2 linked regions of the Canis lupus familiaris genome follow. Each later gene encodes a partner of the first gene's protein in a complex. Links are inferred from orthologs where the notes say so. Each region holds a gene or a part of one and is shown on either strand. Other genes may lie near its edges.

Region 1 (4,260 bases):
TGAAATACTTAGAGTTCTAAGGTGGCATGTGGAAAATTATCAGACATGTGAAGTTGTAAAGGAAAGATTTGGTTCATAAATATGTGCCTACCCAAAACAGTTCTCTCCTGTTAGGAATAAACTTGATAATATCAAAGTTGCAACAATTTCTTTAAAGAGAAAGTATAGGCATAGACGTGTGCTTTAAACAGTGAGTGGATCTAAGTGCGAGTCACTATGTATTTGTCATGTATCACAACATATGGATCATATCTTAACATGATATTGTGTTATAGAGCTGAAAGAAAAATTTCTAAACAATCAGAAATTAAGAAACAAACATCGATCAACCACGCTGGAAGGCAGACTGAATTTTTTATACCCTTTTTAGAGAAAATGATATTATAAAATTGTCACATGAGGAAGAGATCAACAAGTATGTTGGCAAAAATGTAGGAAAAGATATTACAGGTGTGTGGAAGGCACATGTATAAAAATGTTATACCTAAAAAAGAAAATGGGACACATACATTATGTGCATTGTACCGTATACAAGAACCTAATGCCTTTTTTGTCTTTCATCACACTGACATTTTGCAAGAACCCCAGATATTTTGTAGACCGTCCTATGCTTTGAATACATCTGATTGTTTCTTCATGGTTAGATTCAGGTTAAGCATTTTTTGTAAGAAGGTTATATGGGTGATGTCGTTCCCTTTTCCAAGTGCATCACGTCAGGAGGCATATGATTGCCCCATGTGCTTTTTTTGGTCATTTGGGTATGACAGTGCTTTATATATATACATATATATATTTATAGTACACATATCCATAAATCACACAGCGACTGTGTTCACACGCTAAGAAGCAAAGTTATCAGGCAAGACTCAGAGCGCGCAGCAGGAGGCAGTCGCTTTCCCAAGGCTCTGGGGAAACGGTCCAACCACGCCCATCCTACTACCCGCCCGCGTCTTTTTTCTCAGAGAATGAACTCTCAGAACCAGAAAGCCCCTATCCCAACGTGCCCAAGTCTTTTCCCATCAGCGTGGGTGCGCCTGCGCAGCGAGCTTCCCCGCGGCTCCTTTCCAGCGCCCGGCCGCTTCTTTTTGCTGCTCTCCTCGGCCTCCCCTCCACTCGAGCTTTTCCCTAAGGGGTCATAACAGGGCGCCAAACCGGCGTCCGCGGGAAGGCCGGGGGCGGGGCGCGGCGCGGCGCGGCACGTCAGTGGCCTTCCGGGCGGAAGTCCGCAGCCTCTGGAGCCTCTGATTGGCTTTCAGCCTGGCGCCTGTCTCGGCCCCCGCGCCAGTTTCGGGCTGCTTGGCGCGGAATCGGGAGCCTGCAGGACCATGGCGCTGGTACACGGCGAAGACTGCGACCTGGGGTCGAGCGGTGAGGGATGAGCCCGCGTGCGGGGTTCGGGGTTGGGAATACAGGGGCCGTGGCGTGATTGCGGGTGGTGAGGGCTCTGGAGAGGTCTTTTTAATTTGGGGTGGGGGGCGCTCGTCTGGTTCGCCTGACGGGTCCTTTTGGGCGCGGACCTTGGTAGTCCCGGGCTGGGACTCACTTGTGTCGGGTGGGGCTTCCTCGCAGGGCCGTTTGCTCCTGGCAAACCAGAGCGCATCCCTTGCAGGGCCTGTGTCAGAGTTGCTCTCCGCACGAGTCCGCATTTTCTTTTTATTTCTTTTGGCCAGTGCGTTCCACGTGCTGGGCACACCTGCATCAGACTGACCCCGATGGGGCACAGTCTTGGTTCAAAGTATCTAACAACTCTTAGTTCAAAGTATCTACCTGAGGGCTACAACGAACGAATGTGAGCTCTTTCTATGAAAACTCTCAGGGAAATGTTTATACACTTTAACTCAGCAGGAGAGAAAGTCTAAGGGCTGTCACCAGAAAATACAAATGTGCCTTGTCTTAGGTAATGGGTTTTTACTTCATGCATTAACAATTTTTTTCTCTCAAATTCTATGGAAAGTTCTTCCGAGTGCTGCATAGAAGTAGTGTTCACAATCTAGTCATCTTTGGTGAAGTTACCCCCCCCCCCCCGAAAAAAATCGAATCAGCTCAGCAGCATTTGGAATGCCCTGTATATGACTCCGTTTTCAGTAGTAATCTTTTATTTCCAAAAATAGAATACAAAAATGTAAATGGCTTTGATTTCTGATTTTTGGACTATGTTCAAGTAAAGTGTGACTTAACTTCAGTGAATGTCTGGTTTAAATTCAGATGCTTCACTTTCTTAGTTCAGGGTACATCTCCTGTCACCCAGATACATCTCCATTAATGAGAACTTGCCTTCTAATCAGTTTCCTTTGCATTCACCTAGTTGTGAATCACAGATACCAATTTGCTCCAGCCTTTCGTTTTTAAGACAATTTGTTTTGGAGAGTCGTCAACCCTGGATTACAAATGGGATGTAGGTTGTGAGTATATGAACAGTCTCTGCAGCTCTCCATCAGTGATTTGCCACTAGGGTTTCTTTCTTCACCATAAAAACTGTACGTCATCTGTGAACATCAAGAAATCACTCTTTGGAAGATGCTGTGTAATCTTGAGTCCCCTCTTAAGTCATGGTGTTGATTAAGTAGTTGCTAGAGACTTGTGACTGGAATTTTTCCCTTAGAGCAGAAAGATTGTTACCTGAAAGACTTGCATGCTAGTGTCTGCTTTGGGGGAGAATGGGGGTACTTCAGATGGTAATTTTGAACTGAATATTTAAAGTTTTGTAATGGATTTTTTCATGCCTTTTTGTTGTTGTTAACTTATCTACACGAAGCATTGGACACATTCCAAGAAGGAAATTCTAGGTCTTTTTTCCTCTTAAGTATTAGAAGGTGGGGTACCTTGACAATGGCAGTGAAAAGTTGAAAGGTCTGTAACTACCTATTATTACATATAAAAAGGGATCAGGGAGAGTTTAATGATTTTTAAAAAGCAAGTATAGTGGTTTATTCATTTGTTCATTCAGCAAATATTTACTATGTACCTGCTAGGTATAGGCATTAAATGGTAGGTAAGCTGGACATAGTCTTGTCTTCCTGGAGTTGAGATGGTAAAGAGCTAATTGCATGTGGTGCTATATTGAGGCTTCTCTGAGAAAACCACTTACCTTTATTTTTGCTTTCTAAAGCTAGACCATGGTACTTCTGGGTGTGTTGTGTGCGCGCTAAGTGTGTGTGTGTGTGTCTGCCCTACGTCTGTACACACATACACAAACATGAAATGAGATCCTATATTGCTGATACAAAATAAGCCAAGGTCCTTCATTTAATCCTTAACAACTTTATGAAGCAGACACAATTATCCCCATTTCACAGATGAGAATCCTGAGGCTCTGCATTACAGTGAGTCCTTTGGTCTAACCCACAAGAGCCAACTCTAGCTGATGTAAATAGAAAAAGAGGAATTTAAGTATTTTAGGGATTAGAAGGATACTGTGGTGGTCACAGAAACTCCAGGTGGACTTGAGAATCACTTTGGGGGGCTGCTTAGCCAGGAATGGTAATTAAAGTTGTGCCACAGGGGATCCCTGGGTGGCGCAGCGGTTTGGCACCTGCCTTTGGCCCAGGGCGCGATCCTGGAGACCCGGGACCGAATCCCACGTCAGGCTCCCGGTGCATGGATCCTGCTTCTTCCTCTGCCTGTGTCTCTGCCTCTCTCTCTCTCTCTCTCTCTCGGACTATCATAAATAAATAAAAATAAAAAAAATAAAAAATAAAGTTGTGCCACAGAACTGGTCTAGTGAGGAGGTCATTGTCAGCCATGGCCAAGTACTTGATGTTATAGTTTGTATCTTGGGACATTGCTGGCTGAGTGACCCCAAGTAATCCTCTTGCAGCTGTTGCTATTTCTAGAATCTTCCATTAGCCCATCCACTTTCCTTCTGACACTAGCTTCTGATTTAAAGTCTGAGCAGGTATTCCTACTTGATAGAGCCTGTTTTATATGTTCATGCCCTCGCTACAAGCGTATGTGGGAAAGAGCATCTGCTTTTTCAACTTCTCTAGTGGGACTTGGGCTCTGCATCCCATCAAGGTTTATAAGGAGGGGATTTCACAGACAAGTTCAGGTGCCAGGCAGCTTAAAAAACAACTTGAAGGCACCTGGTCACTACAGCTCAGAGATGTTAACTGGTGGTCTCATGTCACCCAATAAGTGGTGGAGCCGGATTGTGCTGCTTCTCCCTAATCTCCTATTCTCCCACTCTACACTCATGTAAGATTTACCTCCCATACCCACTTCCTCTTGGTTTCTGAGTACACCTTGTAGTTTTTTTTTTTA
Region 2 (3,820 bases), on another chromosome or scaffold:
CAAGATAGGTATCTGTAGCCTACTTTCTATACCTGGTGGCCCATAGCCAGGTATAGAGTAGCCAGGAGGCTACTTACAGCTTGAGCCAAAGGCTCAGTTCAAACTAATTGAGATCTTTTGAATTATTGAAATATTTTAAATACATTTTTATTACTTATATGTCCAATAATAATTAAAGGTCTTTAAGACAGCTTGCAATAGGGCATTATTTGTATGTGCTTTTCCTAATCAGAAACCTAAAAAAGCTTTATTATGATCTCTTACTGATTAATAAATATTTATTATTCAAGGTTACATGTCAATTATATCAGTAGAACTAGAAAAAATATCTATGGTAATATATATTTATCAAAACCTGTTTTAGGTAGATGAAATTTACACTCATCAATTCTGGATGCATAGAATCCGAATTAATGAATTTTAACTGATAGAGAGTTGGCATTATAGTATGGTTTCTTCATTGCTCTTCGGCCACTTTTTTTTGTGTGTGGTTAGAAAATAGCATAATTGGCAGCATGACAGCTCTTATAGAAAATGATTGATATTTTCTACTTGTAGCCCAATCAACACAATACAGTAAAGCTGGGAGCTTTCCAGGCTCAGGAAAAAGAACTGGTGTTTGACATTGACATGACAGACTATGACGATGTGAGGAGATGTTGTAGGTAAGTGCCGCATGCCTTGCTGGTAGGGTGGGTGATATCACTGACAATGAGTAATGATTCCTCTGCTCCAGTTCTGCAGACATATGTTCTAAGTGCTGGACCCTCATGACGATGGCCATACGCATAATCGACCGAGCACTGAAGGGCAAGTATTGGCAGTGGGGTCAAATGCAATAATCTGTTTTCCTGTGAATATTTATCTGTCTATACCATTTTATAATCAAATCTCATAGATTTCTAACATGTTTCCTTGAAACATATGGCCGGAAAATAAGAGATTTTTAGAATAAAGTTGTAGTTGAAACTCTAATAAAGCTATTGATCAAACCAGTGAGTTTTTTCCCAATTCAGTCATCTGTCGAGCAGCTGTATGTGCTACAAACTGTCCTAGATGAGGGAAATATGAAAGATGATGATTACCTCAAGTAGGTTATACAGTCTAGGAAGGAGACAAAATTGAGGATTACATTTATGTTAAGTAATACACACAGGGTGCCCTGGAGATATAGAACAGCAGGAGTACATACAGGAATGGAAAGAGACTGCATCAGAAAAGGTAATGACAGGGGCAACTGAATAGCTCAGTGATTGAGCATCTACTTTTGGCTCAGGTCATGATCCCAGGGTCCTGGGATCTAGTCCCGCATCAGCTCTCTACAGGGAGCCTGCCTCTCCATCTGCCTATGTCTCTGCCTCTCTCTCTCTCTCTCTCTGTGTGTGTCTCATGAATAAATAAATAAAATCTTTAAAAAAGAAAAAAATGAAAAGGTGATGATAATAATGTTAAAAATAGCTAACTCTCAGCACACCTGGGTAGCTCAGTTGGTTAAACCTCTAACTCTTGATTTCAGCCCAGGTCATGATCTCAGGGTCCTGGGATCTAGCCCCACGTTGGGCTTCGTGCTGGGTGTGGAGCCGGCTTAGGATTCTCTGTCCCTCTGCCCCTCCCTGCCCCTGTACACACATGCTCTCTCTCTCTCCGAAAAAATAAATAAATAAATAAGCTAACTCTATATAGGCTGTGTATCGTGTACAGGCACTGTTCTAAACACTTTAAATTTATTAACTTTTTTAATGTCCCTAGACAGGGTTTTTTTGTTTTGTTTTGTTTTAAGATTTTATTTATTTGAGAGAGAACACAAGTGGGGGTCGGGGCAGAGGGAGAAGAAAAAGTAGACTCCCTGCTGAGCAGGGAGCCTGATGCTGGGCTCAATCCTAGGACCCTAGGATCATGACCTGAGCCGAATGCAATCACTTAACACACTAAGCCAACCAGGCGTCCCCCTAGACATGGTCTTAAATGATAAATGGCAATTGGTCAAGGAGAAAAATGGAAATGCTGGAGTGTGAAGAAATTCTTGGCAGAGAGAGGAGACCACGATACGTATAGACATGAAGGCAAGACCATAGACACAGGAAACTACATGTAATTTAGTATAGTTAAGGTGAGTACATGTGAATAAGAGGTAAAAATGAAACCAAGGAAGTAAGCAAGAACCAGTTTATTTATAGATTTTAAAACGTATTTCTCCCCTCCTCAGAGGACTTTGGATTTAAGCATCGTCTCTGGGTATATTCTGGAAGGAGAGGTGTTCATTGTTGGGTCTGTGATGAATCAGTTAGAAAATTGTCCTCTGCAGTACGTTCTGGGATAGTTGAGTATTTGAGTCTTGTAAAGGTAAGATCTCAATGATATTTTACATTTTTTTGTTTGCCAGATATTTCCAAGCCTGAAATGTTTAGTGAAAAAAATGAAACTATCTTTTATATGCATATTCCAGAGTAGATGATCTTACCAGCAGATCAAATAATCATAGTAGCTACATTTTCTAAGATCTTTCATATTTTACTGTAAATATCCTCCTTTGTAACAAAAGGAAAAAATTGCTTTTCTAGTTCAATTATATCAAGTGAAGTTAACCCAGAAAGTTACAGGTATTGAAACTATATAAAATAGCATGTAAATTTTTGTATTTTGACAATTTAATCATATCTGTAGAACACATTAAAGAAATTTTTTTAGTATTTCATTTGTGTCATATATATGAAGTTCTTTTTTGATGGTTTATTTTTCAGGGTGGTCAGGACGTTAAAAAGAAAGTCCACCTAAGTGAAAAAATTCACCCTTTTGTCAGGTCTGTTGGGAAAGACTCCATGCAGTTCTTGTCTGATTTACCTAACATGCTTTTACAGTTACACTATTACCAATTTTCTCTATTGGGGTAGCATTTTATAGATAATAATAGCAAGAGTTAATTGAATGGCTGTTTTATGCTGCAGTATGCATGACATGCTTTACAAATGTTCTCATTGCCCTTAACAACAACTTCATGAGGGACATGGGGATATCTCCATTTATAGATGAAGAAAGTGGGATTTAGACAGATTATATAATTTGTTTGGCACCACACAAGTAATTGTTAAATTCAGGATTCATGTCTTGGTCTGCCTAATTTCAAAACTCATAGTCTTTCCACTAAATTCATTACTTCTCTAGGTGAAAAGAGCATCGTATTAAGAGTAAGAATCTCTATTCTGTGGCTTTCTAAGACCATGATAAAATATTAGAGCCTCTATTTCCATATATATATATGTTGGGGAAAATAACATTTGCTCCATGTATCTCAGAGTTGTGGCACAGATTAAATAAACAATAGGTGTGACGTCTATTTGCAAATTGCTAAGCACTACATAATTGTTGAGGTGTTAAAGCAAGTACCTCAGTAGAAACTATTCTGTTTCTCAGTGGAAGCTATTCAGATTCTGTCCCATACTCTGCTACTGATGTATTATTATGTTGTCCTGGCCTGGTTGCTTTCTACCTTATTACATATTTATGATGCTATTAACCTTCTAATTTGTGGAGTTTTAGAAGTAAACATTTCTTGAATCTATTCTAAGCCAGGTACTGTACCAGGTTGTTCCCCCTTAGAATGTCTTAGTTAGCTCTTATGATCCTGTGAAGGTGTATTATCCCCACGTTACATAGCTAATTTCTGTTTGTATTTTTCTTATTAGACTAGTATATACTCATTAAAAAAATTCAATAGAAGTAAGCACTAGTCTCCCAAATGGCAAGAAAAACTACGCAATGTACATGTTGCCAATAGTATTAGGACTGTGCTATTATTATTCCTACAGCAAATCTATAAACA

Evidence for each region.
Region 2: the proteins of POLA1 (region 1) and PRIM1 are in contact, whole or in part, in a cryo-EM structure (PDB 7OPL), measured with the Homo sapiens proteins. The link is inferred for Canis lupus familiaris from reciprocal best matches to the Homo sapiens genes POLA1 and PRIM1. Residues at the interface, in NP_058633.2 of Homo sapiens: Tyr439, Ala440, Pro447, Glu448, Lys449, Ser450, Phe876, Thr877, Thr878, Gln880, Leu906; in NP_000937.1 of Homo sapiens: Asn92, Thr93, Val94, Lys95, Leu96, Gly97, Ala98.

What each region holds. Positions count from the first base shown.
Region 1 is NC_049260.1:20,310,049-20,314,308, forward strand, and holds the start of POLA1 (DNA polymerase alpha catalytic subunit), read left to right. Parts: upstream 1-1,209; 5' UTR 1,210-1,325; coding exon 1,326-1,368; intron 1,369-4,260. UniProt on the Homo sapiens protein: Catalytic subunit of the DNA polymerase alpha complex (also known as the alpha DNA polymerase-primase complex) which plays an essential role in the initiation of DNA synthesis.
Region 2 is NC_049231.1:1,320,625-1,324,444, reverse strand, and holds part of PRIM1 (DNA primase small subunit), read left to right. Parts: intron 1-558; coding exon 559-665; intron 666-736; coding exon 737-810; intron 811-2,206; coding exon 2,207-2,343; intron 2,344-2,741; coding exon 2,742-2,800; intron 2,801-3,806; coding exon 3,807-3,820. UniProt on the Homo sapiens protein: Catalytic subunit of the DNA primase complex and component of the DNA polymerase alpha complex (also known as the alpha DNA polymerase-primase complex - primosome/replisome) which play an essential role in the initiation of DNA synthesis.